Linked DNA regions of Callithrix jacchus. The protein of the gene in region 1 purifies or fractionates together with the protein of each later gene. This does not show direct contact. Links are inferred from orthologs where the notes say so. Each region holds a gene or a part of one and is shown on either strand. Other genes may lie near its edges. The genes, in order: PRP4K, ZC3H18, PRPF6, EFTUD2, SART1, PNN and USP39.

Region 1 (3,500 bases):
CCACTAATGAGGGGCTACCTTAGCTTGGACTATAACCACAATCTTAATGCCTTAGTTTGACAATTAGTTTTGTGTTCGTTCCCACTAATTCTTAATAGAGACTCAAACTTAAAAACCTTAAAAAGTGGAGGTTTGGGGAGGAACTGAAAGGGCACAAGAAAATATGTATTTCTTCTCTTTTCTCATTTTGCCTTTGGTGGAGGTGCTAGTCAGCCTCAACCAAGGCAACAGGAAAAAACAAAGGTCCCATACAATCCATAAATGTGATAATCAGACCTTGAATAATCAAGAGCAGTCTTCTAAAGTCGAGGATTTTCCACAACTGTTTTGCTACTCTTGCCCGACATGATCAAGACTCCTGTCACAACTACCTTCATTCCACCTGAGGAGGATGAACTTGCTATGGTTCCCTTCCTCATGAATGAACTCGTGCAGCTGCTGAAGTGTGATGGAAAACAGTGCTTAGATATTAAGTAAGCGGTTTCCACCACATATGATGGCCCAGGTCAAAGAACATTAAGAAACTTACTGATTTCAGGAGCACGATAAAATCTACTGACAAGATAAGGTGTTATGTCATTATCCGCAACATGTGAGGCCGACCCAAAATCGCAAAGCTTTAAAATAGTTTTTGATTCATTAACCTGCAAAACATTTTTTCAAAGGAATTCAATTCAAGCCTGGAATAATTAATACAAATAAATAAAAATTACTGCTTTATTTTGAGAACAAAGATACTCATTTAAAAATTCATTTTCTATTTATTTTTAATTCAATTTCCTAACTATGAAAAGTTAAGATATATCAAATATTCATTACAATGAGTAAAAACTGTTTTCAGTGAGGAAACGTGAGATACCACAAAGTATATTTAATTTTAACAACTGCATTTTTAAAAGGGTGAGGTACTGAGAGAAAAAATCTCATTTTATGAAGCAAAGCATCTTCTAAAAAGACCCTAAATACCTGAATAAAGTCAAGTTTTATTACTAAGGACTCAGACTTAACTGTCAGTTGCCAGAGAATTACAATGGCAATGAAAGCAGAAGGGTGATTCAGATTAAACTTGAACAAAAACAAAACATTCTTCATCCGAAGCTTGCTATCTCATCCTAAATTTAGCAATCGCTTCCAGTCTAAAAAATATTAAAACCCTTAAATACAAAGGTATTAGTCAAGAAAACGTTAAATATATCTGGCAAAACTGATAAACATGAACTCTATATTAGTCATTTGTTTCTTTTTTCCTTTGTAAATACTTCAACATACACAGTAATAGTGACATCTGCTGAGAAAGGCTGGAGTTGCTCCCATGACTGCTGCCACTCATGAGTCAGAAGCATGTTCAGGGTTAACAAGTGAAGATAATTCATATTGCAGAGTCCCTTCCCCCCTTCAAAAGAGACACACACAAATACCGAGTTGGAACTTGAACTTGGCCTACTGCTCCCACCCCAAAGCAACATATCATTTTAAATAGCCTTAGGCAGTCTCTATGGGGAGATTGGACTATTATAAATGATATACAGAATTAAGTTATTAATAGTAACAGAAATGATTATTTTTAACTTCCACATTGATTATCATTCTCTTCATCTTGGAAATCAGAAACGTAATTATCTTAAAAGAGAAAAGTTCTTTAAAACTTTTTTTTTTTTTTTTTAGATGGAGTCTCACTCTGTCACCCAGGCTGGAGTGCAATGGCACGATCTGGGCTCACTGCAACCTCTGCCTCCCAGGTTCAAGCAATTCTCCTGCCTCAGCCTCCCGAGTAGCTGGGATTATAGATGCGTGCCACTGTGCCCAGCTAACTTTTGTATTTTTAGTAGAGACGGGTTTTCACCATCTTGGCCAGGCTGGTCTCAAACTCCTGACCTCGTAATCCACCCGCCTCCACCTCCCAAAGTGCTGGGATTACAGGCGTGAGCCACCGTGCGCAGCTTAAAACTTAATTCAGCTACTTAAGCAGTTTCAATACCCAGAGAAAACCTCAGAACTATTATAAAATTAGAATCTATCAGTGGAACTCCTGGGCTGGCTATACTGCCTTAAATAACAGCAGGGTATCCATCCCATATGCACTTCAGTTTGCTACACAACTTCTACTCCTGTCATGAGGAATCTGATACTTAAGCCACACTGATGCCGGGAGTCACGAGCTAAATGCTTTGGAGTTTCATTAACAAAATCAGCTCCATGTCACTGAGGTCTATTTTTTCCTTCCCCATGAAGAAGAGAAAACATTTCTGAAATTTATGTAAAAACCTATACTAGTTTAGCAGTATGCTTTAAAACCAAGAGCTTCTTCTATGACACTGGCAAAGATGTTATTCTTTAACTCCACAATGGTTACAAAGGTGCTAACTGTAAATGACCTTTTAAATTGAACATGTTTTACATATTCTTTGACCATGTATTTCACAATTAAAAAACAAAAAATTGAGGTAAAAGCAAACCACGAAATTGGCCACACAAATTTACAATTTACAATTCATTTTTAATGTACCTACCATTTCAATGTAATTACTCAAGTCCAAGTTACATTAGATATACAACAATTCAGACCAAACATAAAAATGGAATGTACCTCATTACTAATGTGGTTGTCTGGAAGGAAACATTTTAATATATTAACAAAAAAGAAAAAGAGAAATATGAATTAAAGAGCTTAGTTATTGATAAGAAGTCCTTCAACTAAAAAGTCTAATTCAATCACCATTGTTTTAAGAATTTATTTTGGCCAAGCATGGGAGCTCACACCTATAATCCCAGCACTTTGGGAGGGTACAGGAGGACTGCTTGAGCCCAGGAGTTTGAGACCAGACGGGACAATATAGCAAAACCTCATCTCTAAAAAAATTTAAAAATTAAGTGTCACAGTGGCATGTTCCTATAGGTAGTTCCAGTTACTGGGGGGGCTGAGGCAGGAGAACTGCTTGGGCCTAGGAGTTCAGGGTTACAGTGAGCCATACGGCACCACTGCACTCTAGCCTAGGTGACAGAATAAGACCTTGCCTCAAAAAAAAAAGGAACAAAGTATTTACTTTTTAATAGCTCAAACCGTTTCCAATAAAGGACACCTTACATGCTTAGCTTTTAGTTTTAAGGATCTCTCCTTGGTATCAACTGTAGGAGAGTTGATAAAGGAAACCCATTTAGAAAAAAAATGAAATGCAGGCTGTTACTGGCAGATAAGCTAGAATTCTCCAAGTTGTGAACACGCCCCAAACTGAAGGCCACAGAACAGGGTGAAGAAATGGGTCCAGGGAAGAGTGTGTGCGTGCATTAATCACATCACTACGATAATGTGTATGTTTTTCAAAATTTCAAAAACACATATAACATAGTGAAATCTGCATGTTAACCACCAGAAGTTATTAGTTGAAGAGGATTAAAACTTCAAAAGGTGAGAACACAAGGACACAGAGGGGAACAATACACACTGGGGTCCATCAGAGGCTGGAGGGTGAGAGAAAGGAGAGGATCTGGAAAAATAACTG
Region 2 (3,500 bases), on another chromosome or scaffold:
GAATGCCTTAGGAGAACACGGCAGACGGACAGAAACAGCAGGTCTGTGGCTCCTCCAGTGCACACTCAACGTGGACACAGAGCACACAGGACGGGCACCTGAGTCCGCCCTGCTCATCTGCTGCTCAGGAAAACACTACCACGTCTCCCGAGGGTGTTGAGAATACATGGGTGAGATTTGTGGGCCAGGCGAGGGGTTTCCCAAGGGGAGGGATAAGAGAAACAATGCATTTTTTTTCTTTTACAAAAGTCAGGTCTTTAAAACATTTCAAACCTATTAAGAAACATTTTAGGCCCGGCGCGGCGGCTGACGCCTGTAATCCCAGCACTTTGGGAGGCCGAGGCGGGTGGATCACGAGGTCAAGAGATTGAGACCAGTCTGGCCAACGTGGTGAAACCCCATCTCTACTAAAAATCCAAAAATTAGCTGGGCATGGTGGTGCGTGCCTGTAGTTCCAGCTACTCAGGAAGCTGAGGCAGGAGAATTGCTTGAAGCCAGCAGGCGGAGACTGCAGTGAGTTAAGGTTGTGCCACTGTACTCCAGCCTGGGCAGCAGAGCAAGACTCTATCTTGAAAAAAGAAAAACATTTTAGGCCAGGCATGGTGGCTCACGCCTATAATCCCAGGACTTTAGGAGACCAAGGGAGGAGGATCACTTGAGCCCCCAGGAGTTTGAGACCAGCCTGAACAACATACCAAGACCATGTCTCTCCAAAAACAATTTAAACAAACACACAAAGTCTGACAACTACTCAGTAAGGAATCTAAAGACAGATTCAACACTGTCTTCTTTTAAAACGAAACCTCGGAAATCCTTTTTCGGTTTTCCTGTTTTGGGAGGGCCTCACTCCATCGTCCAGGCTAGAATGCAGTGGTGTGATCATAGCGCATGGCAACCTTGACCTCCCAAGTAGCTGGGACCGTAGGCACACACCACTATACCCAGCTAATTACAGAACATTTCTGGGCTGGGCACAGTGCCTCACACCTATAAGCCCAGCAGTTTGGGAAGCCAAGGAGGGCGGATCACCTGAGGTCAGGAGTTTGAGACCAGCCACCAACATGATGAAACCCCATGTCCACTAAAAATACAAAATTAGCTGGGTGTGGTGGTGTGCGCCTGTAGTCCCAGCTACTTGGGAGCCTGAGGCAGGAGAATCGCTTGAACCCAGGAGGCAGAGGTTGCAGTGAGCCGAGATTGCATCATTGCACTCCGGCCTGGGCAGTAAGAATGAAACTGTCTCAAAAAAAAAAAAAAACTTTTTCTGTGGAGATGGTCTCACCATGTTGCTCAGGCCGGTCTTCACGTCCTAGGCTCCAGCAACCCTCCTGCCCAAAGCGCTGGGATCACAGGCATGAGCCCCACGTCTGGTCCCAAATCTTTCCCGTGTATTCTCTTACATGTTTTTTACTGGCTTCCTCGGTCCCTCAGGGGTGTGACAGGCCCCGCAGGCCCAGCCTCCGCCTCTGCTGGGCCGGAAGCTGCCGGCTCCTCCCCAGGTGCAGGTGCTCTCTTAGGGAGATGGGGCATCAAGTCAGCAGGGTGGAGGCCCCTCCTCCTTACCTGAGCACCCTCGAGTTCACAAGCTGTGTGTGTGGGGGGGTCTCCCTATCACATGAGTCCTGGCCCATTTTATCATCTGCATCAGTTCCAACCACAGCCTTCCATGGCACCAGGGTGACTCAGACCCAGAGGAGCCCCAGAGCTGGCCCCAGCCGGCCTGTGGGAGACTCCCCATCCCACAGGCTGGCCTCTTCTGGGGACTTCCTGTCCCTGATGGGGAGGGAGACAGAGGCACAGGGTGACAGGAATGACCTGGATCGGGAGCTGGAGCCGCTGTAGCTGCTGCCACTGCCGCTGCCGCTGCCGCTGATCGTCCGCCTGTAACACAAGCAACAGCTGGGCTCACCGGGCACGGCCTCCCCTTCCCACCAGCAGCCCTGCGAGGTGAGGCTCCAGACTGGCCTTGCCACCGACTTATAAAAGGGCCTGGGGCTATTTTCCTTTAGGCAGTGTTTCTCAAAAATGCACTCTCTCAGGGACAGCACCTCTCAGTGCAGACAGGGGCTGTGGATGGACAGCCGGTGATCCCTACCATGCTGTCCTTTCCCCATCAGGCTCCAGAAAAACAGGCTTAGAGAGGGAGCGGGACAGGTTCCCAGGTCAGGGCTCACTGGCTGCTGCTGCTCTGCTGGGGGGCGCCTCTTACGACCTGGCTCCGGACCCCCCCACACCAGATTTCCACCAGTGCCATCATCATGGTTGCACCAAGGACACAGACGCCGGAATGCTCACCTCCTCGGGGGGGTCCTGGCTTGCCGCTCCTTCCTCCTGGCTTCCCGGGGGTCTCCTGGTTTGGTGGGCTCGGGGACAGGAGCAGTGGTTTTGGTGGCCTGTGGTGGGGCTGGAGGCGGGGCTGGCTTCTTCACTGACTTCTCTCTGTGAAACAGGGAAGCTTGGGCAGGGCAGGGCTGGTGGACGAGGCCCCACTGGCCCATGTCCCCTTTAAATGCACCTGAACCTCAGGGTACAACACTGCATGCCTGTGACGCTAAGTAAGAGGCTCGTGTCTGGATATGGTTCCCCATCGATCAGTGACAGAGTACTTGGGAATGGCTTCAAAGCCCCCAGCAGCCCTTCCAGCCTCCCCTCTAACAGGCAAGAGCTGCAGGCACCAGGGGGTGACGGAGCAGGCTGAGAGACAGACCCCGTGAGAATACCCGGGGCTGCTGCCGTGTCCCCAGGGGTCTGGGGGGAACACTGTAGTGCAAGGGCAGCTTGAGAACAGGGGCTGTGCCCAGTGATCCCCAGCCTATTCACCCTCCGGGGACAGACCCCTGAAGCAACCTCATCTCTTTGGTCCCAAACGCAATTGACAGACAGAGATGGAAGGAAGAAGCTGCAGCCTCTGGAGGCTGGGCTGCCAGGACCTCCCCACAGGCCGGGGACTCACCCTGCTTTCCCAGGCGGTGGGGCCGGCTCCCCCTTGGTTCTGATGGAAGGTCTATGTGGGGAAGGTGTTGGGGACGGGGACGGGGACGAAGAGAAGGACCGGGACCTGGGGGAGTGAACAAAGGTGTGAGGAAGGGCCTGGGGGTGTTTCTTCACCAGCCCAAGGCCACTGAGGACCCACCCAGATCCATGGAACAGGCCACAAATTTCCGAGTATGGGCCTCAGATTGAACTTCAGTTCTGGACCTATTCTGTCATCTGCCCAGAGCAGACTGGAGTGTGGAAGGTGTCAGCACCCACTGGCGGGTCCTCTGGGAGGCATGTGTCATGTTCACGTGTGTGCAGGACGGCTGGGGACAGGTTTCTTGGCAGCGGGGCATCAGCATGGCTCCCACAGAAACACCTGCAGGACAGGGCTGCATCTGGCCCCTTCCTTGGCCTGTCAGGATCTCAGACTGTGGTCCTCAGTGACAGCACCATCTGCACCAGGACGAGGGCCCACAAGGCTAGTGTTTGGTGGGGGGACACAGGACCTGACCCTCTGGCCA
Region 3 (3,500 bases), on another chromosome or scaffold:
TAAACACTGATTCTTCCAATCCATGAACATGGAGTATGTTTCCATTTTTTTGTGTCCTTTTCAATTTCTTGCATCAATGTTTTATAGTTTTCACTGTAGGGATCTTTTACTTCTTTGGTTAAGTTTATTCCTAAGTATTTTATTTGTAGCCATTATAAATATAATTTCTATCTTTTTTTTTTTGAGACGGAGTCTCACTCTGTCACCAGGCTGGAGTGCAGTGGCACGATCTTGGCTCATTGCAACCTCTGCCTCCCAGGTTTAAGCGATTCTCCCGCCTCAGCCTCCCGAGTATAGCTGGGATTACAGGCTTGGGCCACTACACCCAATTTTTGTATTTTTTTAGTAGAGACGGGCTTTCACCATGTTGGCCAGGATGGTCTTGATCTCTTGACCGTGTGATCTGCCCACCTTGGCCTCCCAAAGTGCTGGGATTACAGGTGTGAGCCACTATGCCTGGTCTTGTAAATATAATTACTTTCTTGATTTTTTTAAGATTGTCGTCTGTTGATGACAAAAAGGCTACTGACTTTTGTATGTGGATTCTGTATCCTACAACCTTTTTTTTTTTTTGAGATGGAGCCTCACTCTGTCACCAAGGCTAGAGTACAGTGGCACAATCTCGGCTCACTGCAACCTCTGCCTTCCAGGTTCAAGCGATTCTCGTGTCTCAGCCTCCCAAGTAGCTGGAATTACAGGCATGCACCACCACACCCAGCTAATTTTTATAGTTTTAGTAGAGACAGGGTTTCTCCATGTTGGTCAGGCTGATCTCCCGAACTCCCGACCTCAGGTGATCCGCCCGCCTTGGCCTTGCAAAATGCTGGGATTACAAGCATAAGCCACCATACCCAGTCCAATTTTTTCTGTTTTTGATAGTGACAGGGTTCCTCTATGTAGGCCAGGCTGGTCTCAAACTCCTGACCTCAGGTGATCCACTCACCCTCAGCCTCCCAGAATGCTGGGATTACAAGCATGAGCCACCATGCCTGACGACATAGCCTGCAACTTTAATTAATCTGTCAGCTCCAATAGTCTTCTGGTGGAGTCTTTAGGGTTTTCCAAATATAAGATCATATCATCTGCAAACAAGAATAATTCAACTTCTTCTTTTCCAATCTGGATGCTCTTTATTATCTCTCATCTGACTGTGCTAGATAGGACTTTCACTACCATGTTGAATAACAGTGGTCAAAGTGGACATCCTTGTGTGTTCCAGATCTTAGAGAAATGGCTTTCAGTTTTTCCCCATTCAGTATGATACTAGCTATGGGCCTATCACATGTGGCTTTTTTTCTTTTTTTTTTTTTGTGACACAGTCTTACTCTGTTGCCCAGGCTGGCATGTAGTGGTGTGATCTTGGCTCATTGCAACCTCCACCTCCCGAGTAGCTGAAATTATAGACCTGTATTGCCACATCCAGCTAATTTTTGGATTTTTAGTAGAGACAGGCTGGTATCGAACTCCTGACCTCAAATGATCTGCCTGCCTGGGCTTCCCAAAGTGCTGGGACTACAGGCGTGTGAGCCATGGCATCCGGCTGTATGTGGCTTTTATTGTGTTGAGGTATGTTCCTTTTTTTTTTTTTTTTTTTGAGACAGGACCTCTCTCTGATGTCCAGGTTGAAGTGTGGTGGTACAATCTCAGCTCACTGCAACTTCTGCCTCCTGGGCTCAAGCAATCCTCCTACCTCAGCCTCCTGAGTAGCTAGGACTATAGGTGTATGCCACAAAGCCTGGCTAATTTTTGTATTTTTTTGTAGAGACAGGGTACTACCCTCTTGCCTAGGCTGATCTCAAATTCCTGGTATCAAGCAATCCTCCCGCCTCAGCCTCCCAAAGTGCTGGGATTACAGGTAAGAGCCACTGCGCCCAGCCAATGAATGGTCTTTCTAATGTGTTGTCACATACAGTTTGCTGTCTTTTGTTGAGGATTTCTGCATTAACATTCATCAGGAATACTGACCTGTCGGTTTCTTTTTTCAACGTGTCTTTGTCCGGTTTTGGTATCAGGGTAATACTGGTTTTACAGAATAAATTTGGAAGTATTCTCGCCTCTATTTTTTGGACTAGTTTGAGTAGAATTGATACTAGTTCTTCTTCAAATAGTTGGTAAAATTCAGCAATGTAGCAATTAGATCCTGAAATTTTTCTCTGCTAGGACACTTTGTATTACAGCTTTGATCTCATTACTTACTACTGGTCTGTTCAGGTTTGGGATTTCTTCATGGTTCAATCTTATTACCTTGTATCTGTCAGCTGACATCTTTAATTTGTTTGAAAATTACTCAACACATAATAGATTATAATCAACAGTCAGTATGCCCTTTTCAAAGATGGTAACACGGATGTATAGTAAAAGCAATCCCCAGAATTCTTAAAGCTCTCCACTCCAGCCCCCAGGCCCTGAGGCTGTTCTGCAGCAGCCCAGTGCCTATCCAAACACTGCTACCACAGCACAAGACCCTTACGTGGCCTAAAAGCCGAGCAGAGACACATGTACTTTGCAACTTTTCTCCAAGTATAAAACAATTGCAAATGAAACTTTCTTTTTTTTTTGGAGACAGGGTCTTACTATGTCAACCAGGCTGGAATGCAGTGGTATGATCACGGCTCACTGCAGCCTTTACCTCCTGGGCTTAAACGGTCCTTGCACCTCAGCCATCCAAGCAGCTGGGTCTACAGGCACCATCTGGCTAATTTTTAAATTATTTGTAGAGATGAGGTCTCACTAATGTTGCCTACACTGGTCTCAAACCCCTGGGCTCAAGCTATCATCCTACCTCAGCCTCCCAAAGTGCTAGGATTACACATGCGAGACACTACACCTGGCCTCAAAAAAATTTTTTTTTTTTTTTTTGAGATGGAGTCTCACTCTGTCACTCAGGCTGCAGTGCAGTGACACAATCCTGGCTCACTGCAACCTCCACCTCCGGGGTTCAAGCAATTCTCCCACCTCAGCCTACCGAGTAGCTGGGATTATAGGCGTGCGTTACCACGTCCAGCTAATTTTTGTATTTTTATTAGAAACAGAGTTTCGTCATGTTGGCCAGGTTGGTCTCCGACTTCAGATCTGAAGTGATCCACCCACCTCAGATTCCCAAAGTGCTGGGATTACAGGTGTGAGCCACCACACCCAGCCAACTTTTTTTTTAAAGTTGGATAAATATTGTGAAAGGCAACAATTTCTTTTACCTTCTTTCTTTTCTTCTTTCATCCATCCTTTTATCCAGGGCTGCATAGATAGCATCTGCTTCCTCATCATCTTTTTCATAGGGCCCACTTGAGAAGAGGCTCCCGGCATAGCCATTAAACTGAGAACCAAACAACATGTGTAGAGAGGTGAGCTTTTCCTCCAATATCTCCCCACCAGCAGAAATGGAGACGATCTCTACTTATGAAATACTTGCTAAATTATTTCTTCAGCCAACAAAGCCAAATTGAGGGATGGTCTACAATGTAACTGGTAACTACTCTTCTGGTATCAAGGGCATGAAAGAC
Region 4 (2,568 bases), on another chromosome or scaffold:
AAGGCAGTCCGACTTCCCTAAATCAATCCCTGGTATGTTTCTAATAAAGCAGTTTTGAGGAAAATCAACAGACTCTTTTTCACTGGGGAGAACAGAGTAAGGGACTGGTGGTGGCTGGGGAGAGGACTTAGAGCAAATGGCTGGAAATCAGTGCTCTGGCCCCATACCCTAGGGCAAGGGAGATTCTTGGGGGGCGGGACAGCAATTTCCTGAGGTGCTGGGGTAGACCTCTGATCCCAGGAACCAACAACTCCCAAGCCATCTTAGGTCCCACCCTGAAGCAGCATGGAGTGGGAGCAAGGGGGCAAAAACAGGGCCTTGATACTCATGAGAACACTGAATTAAAAGGCAGGCTGCTTCCCTGGGGACTCAGGCAGGAAGGAGGCTGCAGCTGGAAGCAGAGGCAGTGAAGCCTCTTGGGAGATGACATATATTCAGAATGTAAGCACCAGGACCAGATGGGGCAGGGGAGACGGGGATGAAAGGAACAGAGCAAGACAGAGGTCAAAATGTTCTGTTCACTTGCAAACCATGGCGAAGGTCAAACTTGTAGAAAATAAAATTCCATGTAAATACCAAAGATGGGGGGGTTCCATCCCCGCTTCTCTTTCTGTGAGTCCAAGCAAACTCCTCTCTTTCCTTGGAAATGGAGCCTGGCAGAGGGCACAGAAGGAAGCAGGAGGCCAAATGCTCCTCTCTCACTGGCGCTCTGGGTTAGAGGTTGGTGAGTTGTTCAAGACACCAACAGCAGCTTCCAGACACTCTAACAACACGAAGGCCATGTCATACCAGGTCTCAGCTTCAAGTGCAGGAGTTGCAACTCACTGTAGGGAGCAGGAGCTGCCAGGAGTCCGTGCACTCACATGGGGTAATTGAGCACAACATCCTGTTTGGCGAGTTCCAGCAACATAGGATCATCGAAGAATTTGCTTATGCTCACATCTTCACTGAGGCCCTGCAGAAAAATACAAGAAAAATACAAGAAAGCCCGAGGTGGTGGCAGACTGAGTGGGGAGGCCACCCAAGACCTGCGCTCAGTGAGGCTAGTGGTAGCAGGAATGTAGGTGGTGTTGTTTCAGCAGCCCTGCTTTCAGGGTACTATCATATAGGAGGATAAAGCTCTCCTTCCACAGCAAGACTAGGGCCCAGGTCTAGTTGCCTCAAGAGTATACAGATCACATGTTTACATTGGAAAAGGGTCCTTTAGGAAAAGGGGCCAAAAGACAGACATAGAGATCCTACTTCTGAGAGTTCTGGGGGGTTGAGGGATGGTAACAGGCCCAAGGAAGACATACCTTCCTACGACGAGTTTTGATCATGAATTCCCGGGCCAGGTGAGGAGCCGGCTGTGGCTCCAAAGGGCGAATGACAATGCTCTTGTCCAGAGGATCACCAGGGACAATCTAAAAGACAAAGGAATTTCAGATGGCCCAGGCAGACTCCCCAGAAGATTTGGGCCCAGAAGCAGGATTCTTATTTATTTTACAGAAAAAAAAAAAATTTTTTTTGAGACTGAGTTTCGCTCTTGTTGCCCAGGCTGGAGTGCAATGGCATGATCTCGGCTCACTGCAACCTCTGCCTCCTGGGTTCAGGCAATTCTCCTGCCTCAGCCTCCTGAGTAGCTGGGATTACAGGCATGCACCACCATGCCCGGCTAATTTTGTATTTTTAGTAGAGACAGGGTTTCTCTGTGTTAGTCCCTATTTTATTTTTAAATTTATTATTATTATTATTTTTTGAGACGGACTCTTGCTCTGTCGCCCAGGCTAGAGTGCAGTGGTGCGATCTTGGCTCACTGCAACCTCTGCCTCCTGGGTTCAAGTGATTCTCCTGCCTCAGCCTCCTGAGTAGCTGGGATTACAGGTACCCACCACTGTGCCCAGCTAAATTTTTTTTGTATTTTTAGTAGAGACAGGGTTTTACCATGGTAGCCAGGCTAGTCTTGAACACCTGACCTCGTGATCTGCCCGCCTTGGCTTCCCAAAGTACTGGGATTACAGGTGTGAACCACTGTGCTGGTCCTCTATTTTTTTTTTTTTTTTTAAACTGAGAGACACAGATTCAAGTTGCCCTGAATATATGCTCCCCAGAAGAGGACTCTTCTCTAGGATGCTGTACATCTCACTTAGGGCTTGGAGGGGGATCAGGACAGAAGGGGATGAGGCTTGCAGAGGTGTGAGGCCAACGCAGCCAGCCAGCCTGCGATGTTTTCTCACCTGCCAATGGTGGAAGACAGACAGAGAAAAGGCTTGTCCCTGGGTGTGAGTCCGGAGATCAGTTTCAAAGCCAAAAGAGTCGATGGCTGGGATAAAGGCTTTGATGGTGTACAGAGGGGAGCCTGGAATGGGTGCATCCTGAGTCACGTGCCCCCTGCGACAAAAAAATAAAGGCCGAGTCTCTAGTTATACAAAGGCCAAAAGACAAGAAGCAATCTGCCATTGGCTGTTCCCAAATGCATCCCAGCCCAGAGTTACCATCAAAGAAAGAGTAACCAAGAATGTTATACAGAGCAGAAAAAGCTCGGGGCTCTCAGTGTAATTTCCTGTGGTCTTGAGTTGTTGTTTTTTT
Region 5 (3,500 bases), on another chromosome or scaffold:
CCCTGCACACTCACATCTTACCCTCGATGTGAGGACCCCAGCCCTGCACACTCACATCTTACCCTCGATGTGAGGACCCCAGCCCTGCACACTCACATCTTATCCTCGATGTGAGGACCCCAGCCCTGCACACTCACATCTTATCCTCGATGTGAGGACCCCAGCCCTGCACACTCACATCTTACCCTCGATGTGAGGACCCCAGCCCTGCACACTCACATCTTACCCTCGATGTGAGGACCCCAGCCCTGCACACTCACATCTTACCCTCGATGTGAGGACCCCAGCCCTGCACACTCACATCTTACCCTCGATGTGAGGACCCCAGCCCTGCACACTCACATCTTACCCTCGATGTGAGGACCCCAGCCCTGCACACTCACATCTTATCCTCGATGTGAGGACCCCAGCCCTGCACACTCACATCTTATCCTCGATGTGAGGACCCCAGCCCTGCACACTCACATCTTATCCTCGATGCAGTACACGGCTGAGGGCAGAGACTTGTTGGGGGCCTTCACTCGGGCCACCTTCTGCACTGTGGTCTCCAGTAGCCCTAGGGATGGAGGGGTTGTGAGACTCCAGGCTGCCCAACCCTGTGAGAGGCGCCGCTCCAGGGCCTCCTGAGAAAGTGAAATGGGCCCTGTGGGGTGCACCTCCCTCTCCTTGCCTCTGGAAAGCCATCAGGCCAATTCTAAAGCAAAGATGCAGAAATGAGCCCCTTGCCACGGGCCACTGGCCAAGGAAATGGCAGAGCTGGGGTCCTAACATCAGGGCTTCTCTGCTACAGCTGTAACAGTTTCAACTCCCCTCTCCTTCCTGGAGCAGATATGGAGCCTCGTAAGGCAGAGACAGATGCCAGGGGGAGAAGGAGCGGCTCTGGGCCGGGCAGCTGGCTCCAGCATAGGGAATGAAAGAGGCAACAGAGGGGACGGAGGCAACCCTGCCTGCACCTGCTGCACCGAAGCCCCCACAAGCCCTTTTCCTGCCCAAGTGCCCAAGTCCACCCAAGCCACAGCTGCCCTGAGTTCCCTACCTTTGTTCTGACACAGGAGCAGGGCAGCTGCCAGCCCCCTATTCACGATCGGCTCCTCGTCCAGGATGGTGGTGGAGGAAGCAGAGAACTGGGGGGCACGTGGCAGGGTTGGTTAGCAAGCCACACCGCCTCTTCTCACCCCCACCCATCAGTCACCCCCTGCCGGGCACCAGCCACAGCGTTTAACTTCATTTCCTCAGGTATACTCAGATCACGCTGGGAGGAATGCAGAGCGCACTGTGATGAGGAGGCTGAGGACACCGAGTAACGTGCCTGGGCACTCATCTCCAGCTCGACCCTCCCGCCCCCATGCCCCCGCCCCCCACCCCGTGGTGACAGTGCGGCCCTCACATCCTGCTGCTGCTTCTCCTCGTCCAGGTTCACCGTACTCCAGCCAATGTTCTCCTCCCCATCAGATTCAGAGCCGCCGTTGGCCGAGCGCTCTTCGTCCTGTTCAAAGTCCTGGGGCACAAAAGACCAGGGTCAGCCCAGCCCCCAGCCCCCAGCCAGCCTACCCAGCCAAGCGAAGCCCAGGGTGGGGCTGCCCCAGACGCACCATGAGCTCCTCCTGCTCCTCGCGGTTGCCGGCCAGCCCGTAGGTGGGGATCTCCCCCAAGGTGCGGCAGAACTCAGATGTGGCGTTGAACACAATGGCCCCCTTTCGCTCAGGATCCTCATCCTCCTCCCAGCCCCGCTGGCGAGACTCCAGCTTCTTCACAATCTCCACCACCTGGGGGAGGGAGTAGCTGTGGGCAAACCCAGCAGTTTCTGGGGTGATGCCATTGAGACCCAGGAACCCAAGGGTCCTCCCTGGCAGCAGCAAGACAGGCCACACCCACAGCCCATGTGGGTCCTGGCTGATCTCTGCCTCCTGACTCCACTCTACACCTATTTCACTGGGGTCACTCTTCTGCTCCCATCAATGGGTTTGGCTGCCCTTTGAATGAACACCCAACACCCTACAGGGCCTTCCTGACCAGGCCTGTGCCAACCCTGCTCCAAAGCCCCTGGCACACTACCTCAGCCTCAAGCACCTTCCTCCAGGGTCCCTCCTGCCACCAGCCCCTCCCACAACAAACTCCAGTTTCAAGACTCTGTAGGCAGCACTTCTAGAACCCACAGGGCGGTGAGGTGGCCCACTCTTTTGACTTCCCACAGCCCAGCTTCTTGCTTCCCACTTCACCAAGAAAGCAGGTGCCATGACATGCTAAGAGAACCCACTCGTGCTACCAGCACTAAATCCAGGACCCCCACATGGGCACCAGCACCCTCTGCTTTCCCTCCTTTTGTAGATGCCCGGCCACACACACACTTGCCCACTAGCTCTCCTCTTTAAAAAACTCCTCCCTCAACCCCGAAGCCCTGACAGCAAACTCCTCAGTGAAGCCTCGATTGCCATGTCCACTTCTGCACCCTCTTTCATTTTAAAAAAATCTCCTGAGGCGAGTGGATTGTCTGAGTTCGGGAGTTTGAGACCAGCCTGGGCAACATGCCCAAATCCCATCTCTACAAAAAAATATAAAAATTAGCTTATAGTCCCAGCTACTTGGGAGGCTGAGGTGGGAGGACTGCTTGAGTCTGGGAGATCGAGACTGCAGTGAGCCAAGATCATAGCACTGCACTCAAAGTGTGGGCAACAGAGTGAAACCCTGTCTCAAAAAAAAAAATTCTTCCAGGGGCCAGCTGCAGTGGCTCACATCTATAATCCTAGCACTTTAGGAAGCCAAGGCTGGAGGATCACTTGAGCCCAGAAGTTCAAGACCAGCCTAGACAGTAAGGTGAAACCCCATCTCTACAAAAACTATAAACATCAACCAGGCATGGTGGTGTATGCCTGCAGTCTCAGCTACTTGGGAGGCTGGAGTGGGAGGATCCCTTAAGCCTGGAGGTCAGGCTGTGGTAGGCCGTGATCTTGCCACTGCACTCCAGCCGGGCAACAGAGCAAGACCCTGTCTCAAAAATACATATATATTCCAGGACATCCTGGAACACTTATTTTTTAATGAACTTCATCGTAAACAGAAAAGGGGGTATATCTAACTCAGCAGATGCTATTAATTTATTTATTTATGTTCTCTTTTTTTTTCTACATGAGATTTTGTTCTGTTGACCCAGATATTTATTTATTTTTTGAGATAGTCTCACTGTCACCCATGCTGGAACACAATGGTGTGATCTTGGCTCACTGCAACCTCTGCCTCCTGGGTTGAAGGGATTCTCCTGCCTCAGCCTCCTGAGTAGCTGGGACTACAGGTGCACGCCACAACGCCCAGCTAGTTTTTGTGTTTTTAGTAGAGACAGGAATTCACCATGTTGCCCAGGCTGGTCTCGAACCCCTGACTTCAAGTGATCCGCCCGCCTCAGCCTGCCAAAGTGCTGGGATTACAGACCTGAGCCACCACACCCAGCTGATATGCTTTTTTTCTTTTTTTTTGAGACGGAGTTTCGCTCTTGTTACCCAGGC
Region 6 (2,654 bases), on another chromosome or scaffold:
CACTTTCCCTTACCTCAGTTTCGTCCTCCATCTTACCCTCCATTTCCTGTTTTTGTTCTTCCTCCTCCTGTTCTTTCTCTGCATCGCTATGCACAACCACTATTTCCTTTTCCTCTTCCTCTCCTGCTTCCTCTATTTCTACATCATTGTGCTGATTACCTGTCTCCTCCAACTCTTCCTCTCGCTGAACCACCTTACCCTCTTCTTGTTCCGCCTTCTGTTCTTCATTACGCACCACCTGATGCTCTTTTTCCTTCATTGATTGTCTTCTAGGCCTAGCCTCCATTTTATTTATTTGTTCTGCAAATTCAATTCGTCTACCTTCAAACAAAGCTAAAAAATAAAAATTTACATGTGTAAAATTTACTGATTAAGAAAATTCAAAGCCACAATTTTACAACCTGTTGCAAATTGTTAGTACGCTTCATCTTTGTTTTTGTAAAGTGATGATGACAAAAAGATTATGGCAATTATAATCACAAACTGACATAAAATTATACATGCAAAGATCCATGGGAAATCTACATACTAGAAATTAGTGGTGGACAAAATTAGATATTTTCTAACTGATGAAGATAAATCTTTGTTTGATGAAAAACTTCTGTTAACACAGAATCAGTTTTGACATAAAATCATATATATCTTTGATCCCAAAGAGACAAATCATCTCAGCAGTGTCTATCCTTCCATCTGTGTTCCAGCTAGAAACTGTCCATATTCATGTTTGTCTTATTAGCATTTTATCAGGACACTAAGTGTAGCATACAAAAAAAGTAATCTTACACAAATGCTTAAGGAATACAGATGCATAAGCACTGCCTACAAGATAACTTGCAGATTAAATTCCATCATGAAAACAAATATTCCTATATTGCCAACTCATCAGCATCTCAGAATACCTTTTATTTAAAAAAAAACCAAACACAGCAAATCAATCACTGAATCACAATTATTTTAGAAAACAAATGTGTGTATATGAATGTATTACCTTACCCACTAAGAAAAATTCAACGGACCTCTTCATGTACTTACCATTCATTTTTCTCTGTGACTCTTCTATTAGTTTTTGGGTAGCTGGACACATTCTTCCAGGAATATAAAACAAATGGGGCTTTGTCTTAGTTCTTATATATTTAATAATTTTCGCATTATGTTCATTCCATTCTTCTTGCTAAAGAAAAGGTAAAAGGTCAGTGCTTTTGTAAACCTGAAGGATTACCAATCTTAGAATTCCGTATCATTACTCACCAGCTGCGCAAGCTCAACTTTCTGTTCCAAAAGTCGCAGTTCTGTCTGTTTAGCACGCCTCTCTTCAAACAGTTCTCTCCTTTCATTTTCAACCTGCTTTCTCTCTTCTTCTGCCTGAACTTCAAGTTTTTGTTCAATTTCCTGGCGCCGCTTTTGCTAAAAATTAAGTATCTTGCTTTAATACTTATGTGTTAGAATAGATACAAGACAAGGTATATTTGATTTCAGTTCAATTATAATGAAAAACTATTATTACACATCCCAATTATGAGAAACATTACAAAGGCAGGTGGATCATCTGAAGTCAGGAGTTTAAGACCAGTCTGACCAACATGGTAAAACCCCATCTTTATTAAATATACAAAATAATTAGCAACGCGTGGTTGTACATGCCTATAATCCCAGCTACTTGGAAGGCTGACAGAAGGCTGAGGTTGCAGTGAGCTGAGATTACGCCACTGTAGTCCAGCCTGGGCAAAGAAGAGACAAACTCCATCTCAAAATTTTTTTTTCTTTTTTTTTTTTTTTTACTATGTAAAGGTATCTGCAGGCTGAACAAGTTGGCTCACGCCTGTCGTCATCCCAGCACTTTGGAAGGCCAAGGTGGGCAAAATGCTTTGAGCTCAGCCTAATCCAGGCAACATGGTGAAACCGGGTCTCTGCAAAAAAAAAAAAAAAAAAAAAAAAAAAGAATTTCTGCCAGGCATTGGGCCTATAGTCCCAGTTATACAGGAGGCTGAGGCTGGAGAACTGCTTGAGCCCAGGAAGCACAGGTTGCAATGAGCCGAGATTACGCAAGGCGCTGTCTTAAAAAAAAAAAAAGTATCTGCATATGCTTCACTTTTTCTTTTTTTTTGGAGACAGAGTTTCGCTCCTCTTGCCCAGGCTGGAGTGCAATGGCGAAATCTCCACTCACTACAACATACACCTCTCAGGTTCAAGTGATTCTCCTGCCTCAGCCTCCAAAACAGCTGGGATTACATGCCACCACACATGGCTAACTCTGTATTTTTAGTAGAAATGGGGTTTCACTATGTTGGCCAGTCTCCCAATTCCTGACCTCAGGTGATCCACTGGCCTCGGCCTCCCAAAGTGCTGGGATTAGACGCGTAAGCCACCGCGCCCAACCGCTTCACATTTTCAATTCAGCATACCAACTAATTAGAACTTAGCACTTGGTACTGACTGTGATTTGTCTTTCAGGAAATGGAGACTGAGGCTTTTTTTTCACATATCTATATTTCAACACTATTAACTATGATATCAACAACTGTTACATTGCAACACAATGTTTAAGTAAGGCTGGTAAACCAAGTTTTTACCTGGCTTTATTTTAGGCTTATGATTAAGTAGTTTTGTTTTGTTGTTTTTTTGAGATGGAGTTTCACCCCATAGCCCAGGCTGGA
Region 7 (3,500 bases), on another chromosome or scaffold:
CCTGTCTCAAAAAATAATAAAAAGAAGAGGCACTGTAAGTTAAGAGTCGGGGGTGACCAGCTAGAAGTACCAAAGAGTCTGGAAGGCTCAGTAAAGTCAATACACATTATAATAAACACATCACATACATGTAGTGATTCTTATTTATAAAATGAAAATGGGCCAGACGCGGTGGCTCACACCTGTAATCTCAGCACTTTGGCAGGCCAAGGTAGGTGGATCACCTGATGTCAGTTCGAGACCAGCCTGGCCAACATGGTGAAACCATCTCTACTAAAAATGAGCCAGGTGTGGTGGTGGATGCCTGTAATCCCAGCTACTCGAGAGGCTGAGGCAGGAGAACTGCTTGAACCCAGAAGGCAGAGGTTGCAGTGAGCCAAGATCGCACCACTGTACTCCAGTCTGGGCAACGAGAGTGAAACTCTGTTTCAAAAAAAGAGCCTGGGCATGGTGGCTCATGCCTGTAATTCCAGCACTTTGGGAGGCCGAGGTGGGTGGATCACAAGGTCAGGAATTCGAGACCAGCCTGGCCAAGATGGTGATACCCCGTCTCTACTAAAAACACAAAAATTAGCTGGGCATGGTGGTGGACACCTGTAACCCCAGCTTCTCAGGAGGCTGAGGCAGGAGAATCCCTTGAACCTGGGAGGCAGAGGATACAGTGAGCTGAAGTTGTGCCACTGCACTCTAGCCTGGGCAACAGAGCAAGACTCCATCTCAAAAAAAAAGAAAAGGAAGAAAATGAAAAAGTCAAGAGAGCAAGTCTAAGTATTGGCAGGGCAGGGCTGCTAATGGACTACCTTCTCAGTGATGCCATTGAACTTGGCCAGGATGTTGAAGAGTGGCACTTGGGGAATGATGAGCTGCTCCTTCTCGTCCTTGTAGAGGGGGGCAGTAGGAAGGTCCAGTGTCAGGTACATAAAAGTGGACTCCACCATTGTCTCCTGGTACTCATCATTGTGAAGCAACTGCTCTTTTTCTTCTGCCGGCTAGAAATGAGTAAGAAGAAGAGAGGAAAGGAGTGTGAGTGGTATAGCAACCGATACAAAACTGATGTTTTGCTAGGCTGAAATTTCCTTCATCCGAAGGAACAAAGAGAGGTGCCTGAGAGATTGGGCAGTTTGGCATGCAACACGTGGTTAGATGAACTTAAGAACAGGTTTCCTTCTTTGAAGAGATTGTGCATATATAACAGACTATCTAAAAAGCTCTGAGGCCAAGTGTGGTGGCTCACGCCTATAATCTCAGCACTTTGGGAGGCCAAGGTGAGAAGACTGCTTGAGTCCAGGACTTCAAGAGCAGCGTGGGCACATAGTGAGATTCCATCTCTACAAAAAATAAAAAATTGGCTGGGTGCTGACGCCCGTAATCCCAGCACTTTGGGAGACCAAGGTGGGTAGATACCACAGGTCGGGAGTTCAAGACCACCCTGACCCAACATGGAGAAACCCCATCTCTACTAAAAATACAAAATTAGCCAGGCATGGTGGCACATGCCTGTAATCCCAGTTACGCGGGAGGCTGAGGCAGAAGAATTGCTTGAACTCTGGAGGCAGAGGTTGCAGTGAGCCAATATTATGCCATTGCACTCCAGCCTGGGCAACAATAGTGAAACTCCATCTCAAAATAAATTAATTAAATTAAAATAAAAATAATTAGCCACGTATGGTGGTGTGCATCTATAGTCCCAGCTTCTGCGGAGGCTGAGGTGAGTGGATCACTTGAGCTGTAGAGGTTGAGGCTGCAGTGAACCGTGATCATGCCACTACACTCAGCCTGAGTGACAGAATGAGAGCTTATCTCAAAAAAGAAAAAAAATCCATTAAAAAAAAAGACAAAAAAAAGTGGGCCGGGCACAGTGGCTCACACCTGTAATCCCAGCACTTTGGGAGGCCAATTGCAGATGGATCACCTGAGGTCAGGAGTTCAAGACCAGCCTGACCAACAAGGTGAAACCCCATCTCTACTAAAAATACAAAAATTAGCCAGGCATGGTGGCGCAGGCCTGTAATTCCAGTCACTCAGGAGGCTGAGGCAGGCGAATTGCTTGAACCTGGGAGGTGGAGGCTGCAGTGAGCCAAGATCGTGCCATTTCACTCCAGACTAGCCAACAAGAGCGAAACTTCATCTCAAAAAAGAAAAGCTCTAAGACCATCTAGGAAGCTTAGCTGGGCCAGACACAATGGCTCAGGCCTATAATCCCAACATTTTGGGAGGCCGAAGCGAATAGATCATCTGAGGTCAGGAGTTCGAGACCAGCCCAGACCAACATGGTGAAGCCCTGTCACTACTAAAAATACAAAATTAGCCGGACGTGGTAGCAAGTGCCTGTAATCACAGCTACTCAGGAGGCCGAGGCAGAATTGCTCGAACTTGCAAGGTAAAGGTTGCAGTGAGCTGAGATCACACCATTGTACTCCAGCCTGGGTGACAGATGGAGCCTCTGTCTCAGAAAAATAAAGAAAGCTTATTTGAGCTTTCTGAAAAAACAAATCAGCACTACCTACTGGCTAGACCACTTAAACCAGCAGAGTACATCCCACCACTAACTCCCAAACTGAAAAGTGCACTAGCATGACATGGACCAGTCAGAGCTGCCACTAGGCAGGTGCTTTGTTGAGCCTCTTCATAGGGCAAGCAGGTTTGTCAGTTCTCTAAACATCTCTTCATCTTCCTTAAGGCCCCTCAAGCAATATAAATCAGTCCAAGATCCAGGCTCAACTAACTCACCAGATCAGGATGGGGAAGCTTTTTAGTGAAGATCCTCATGGACCCCTGGAAAACATCAGTCACAATAGCTGCACAAACAGAAAGCGAAAGACAAATTCCATGAGGTTGGAAAACATGTCCAAAATATATTTCCAGCTTCTAAATTTCTGGAATAAACTAGCCTCTTTCAGCAAAAGACCCAGAGCTCTCACTGAACACAGAAGTTTCCCTTTGTACCATATACCACCATGGTACCTTTATTATTATTTGTGTAAATCATTACTTTATTTCTCTTCAATTTTTTTTTTTTTTGAGACAGATTTTTGCTCTTTTTGCCCAGACTGGAGTGCAATGGTGCAATCTTGGCTCACCACAGCCTCCACCTTTCAGGTTCAAGCGCTTCTCCTGCCTCAGCCTCCCAAGTAGCTGGGATTACAAGGCATGTGCCACCATGCCCAGCTAATTTTTTATTTTTAGTAGAGACAGGATTTCTCCATGTTGGTCAGTCTGGTCTCAAACTCCCGACCTCAGGTGATCCACCCACCTTGGCCTCCCAAAGTGCTGGGATTACAGGTGTGAGCTACCACGCCTGCCCTTTAGGACAACTTTTGATCCTCCATCACAGGGCCTGGTCCATAAAAGAAAAAGTAAATGTGTTCAAAATGAATGAGTGATTTACAGAGCCTGGTGATACACAAATAACAAAAAAAAAAAATTCATAAGCCAAACAAGGTACAGCCAAGGAACTTCCCATAACCATATGCTACTTTCAAAGGGAGACAATGTCCAAT

Evidence for each region.
Region 2: the proteins of PRP4K (region 1) and ZC3H18 purify together in Homo sapiens (co-immunoprecipitation; 4 studies listed by BioGRID and IntAct, counting the BioPlex papers as one, with this or other methods). This does not show direct contact. The link is inferred for Callithrix jacchus from reciprocal best matches to the Homo sapiens genes PRP4K and ZC3H18.
Region 3: the proteins of PRP4K (region 1) and PRPF6 purify together in Homo sapiens (affinity purification with mass spectrometry; 3 studies listed by BioGRID and IntAct, with this or other methods). This does not show direct contact. The link is inferred for Callithrix jacchus from reciprocal best matches to the Homo sapiens genes PRP4K and PRPF6.
Region 4: the proteins of PRP4K (region 1) and EFTUD2 purify together in Homo sapiens (affinity purification with mass spectrometry; 3 studies listed by BioGRID and IntAct, with this or other methods). This does not show direct contact. The link is inferred for Callithrix jacchus from reciprocal best matches to the Homo sapiens genes PRP4K and EFTUD2.
Region 5: the proteins of PRP4K (region 1) and SART1 purify together in Homo sapiens (affinity purification with mass spectrometry; 3 studies listed by BioGRID and IntAct, with this or other methods). This does not show direct contact. The link is inferred for Callithrix jacchus from reciprocal best matches to the Homo sapiens genes PRP4K and SART1.
Region 6: the proteins of PRP4K (region 1) and PNN purify together in Homo sapiens (affinity purification with mass spectrometry; 5 studies listed by BioGRID and IntAct, counting the BioPlex papers as one, with this or other methods). This does not show direct contact. The link is inferred for Callithrix jacchus from reciprocal best matches to the Homo sapiens genes PRP4K and PNN.
Region 7: the proteins of PRP4K (region 1) and USP39 purify together in Homo sapiens (affinity purification with mass spectrometry; 3 studies listed by BioGRID and IntAct, with this or other methods). This does not show direct contact. The link is inferred for Callithrix jacchus from reciprocal best matches to the Homo sapiens genes PRP4K and USP39.

Annotation. Positions count from the first base shown.
Region 1 is NC_133505.1:26,495,837-26,499,336, forward strand, and holds part of PRP4K (serine/threonine-protein kinase PRP4 homolog), read right to left. Parts: intron 1,394-3,500; exon of another isoform or gene 1,270-1,393; intron 645-1,269; coding exon 530-644; intron 439-529; exon of another isoform or gene 277-438; intron 1-276. UniProt on the Homo sapiens protein: Serine/threonine kinase involved in spliceosomal assembly as well as mitosis and signaling regulation. Connects chromatin mediated regulation of transcription and pre-mRNA splicing.
Region 2 is NC_133521.1:46,286,006-46,289,505, reverse strand, and holds part of ZC3H18 (zinc finger CCCH domain-containing protein 18), read right to left. Parts: intron 3,059-3,500; coding exon 2,954-3,058; intron 2,440-2,953; coding exon 2,296-2,439; intron 1,882-2,295; coding exon 1,816-1,881; intron 1-1,815.
Region 3 is NC_133506.1:59,458,738-59,462,237, reverse strand, and holds part of PRPF6 (pre-mRNA-processing factor 6), read right to left. Parts: intron 3,314-3,500; coding exon 3,195-3,313; intron 1-3,194. UniProt on the Homo sapiens protein: Involved in pre-mRNA splicing as component of the U4/U6-U5 tri-snRNP complex, one of the building blocks of the spliceosome.
Region 4 is NC_133506.1:85,259,620-85,262,187, forward strand, and holds the end of EFTUD2 (116 kDa U5 small nuclear ribonucleoprotein component), read right to left. Parts: intron 2,371-2,568; coding exon 2,217-2,370; intron 1,404-2,216; coding exon 1,296-1,403; intron 956-1,295; coding exon 860-955; 3' UTR 501-859; downstream 1-500. UniProt on the Homo sapiens protein: Required for pre-mRNA splicing as component of the spliceosome, including pre-catalytic, catalytic and post-catalytic spliceosomal complexes. Component of the U5 snRNP and the U4/U6-U5 tri-snRNP complex, a building block of the spliceosome.
Region 5 is NC_133511.1:123,052,789-123,056,288, reverse strand, and holds part of SART1 (U4/U6.U5 tri-snRNP-associated protein 1), read right to left. Parts: intron 1,767-3,500; coding exon 1,593-1,766; intron 1,499-1,592; coding exon 1,388-1,498; intron 1,125-1,387; coding exon 1,037-1,124; intron 557-1,036; coding exon 466-556; intron 1-465. UniProt on the Homo sapiens protein: Plays a role in mRNA splicing as a component of the U4/U6-U5 tri-snRNP, one of the building blocks of the spliceosome. May also bind to DNA.
Region 6 is NC_133509.1:73,856,293-73,858,946, reverse strand, and holds part of PNN (pinin), read right to left. Parts: intron 1,405-2,654; coding exon 1,249-1,404; intron 1,172-1,248; coding exon 1,033-1,171; intron 334-1,032; coding exon 1-333. UniProt on the Homo sapiens protein: Transcriptional activator binding to the E-box 1 core sequence of the E-cadherin promoter gene; the core-binding sequence is 5'CAGGTG-3'. Capable of reversing CTBP1-mediated transcription repression.
Region 7 is NC_133515.1:27,386,994-27,390,493, forward strand, and holds part of USP39 (ubiquitin carboxyl-terminal hydrolase 39), read right to left. Parts: intron 2,799-3,500; coding exon 2,731-2,798; intron 990-2,730; coding exon 801-989; intron 1-800.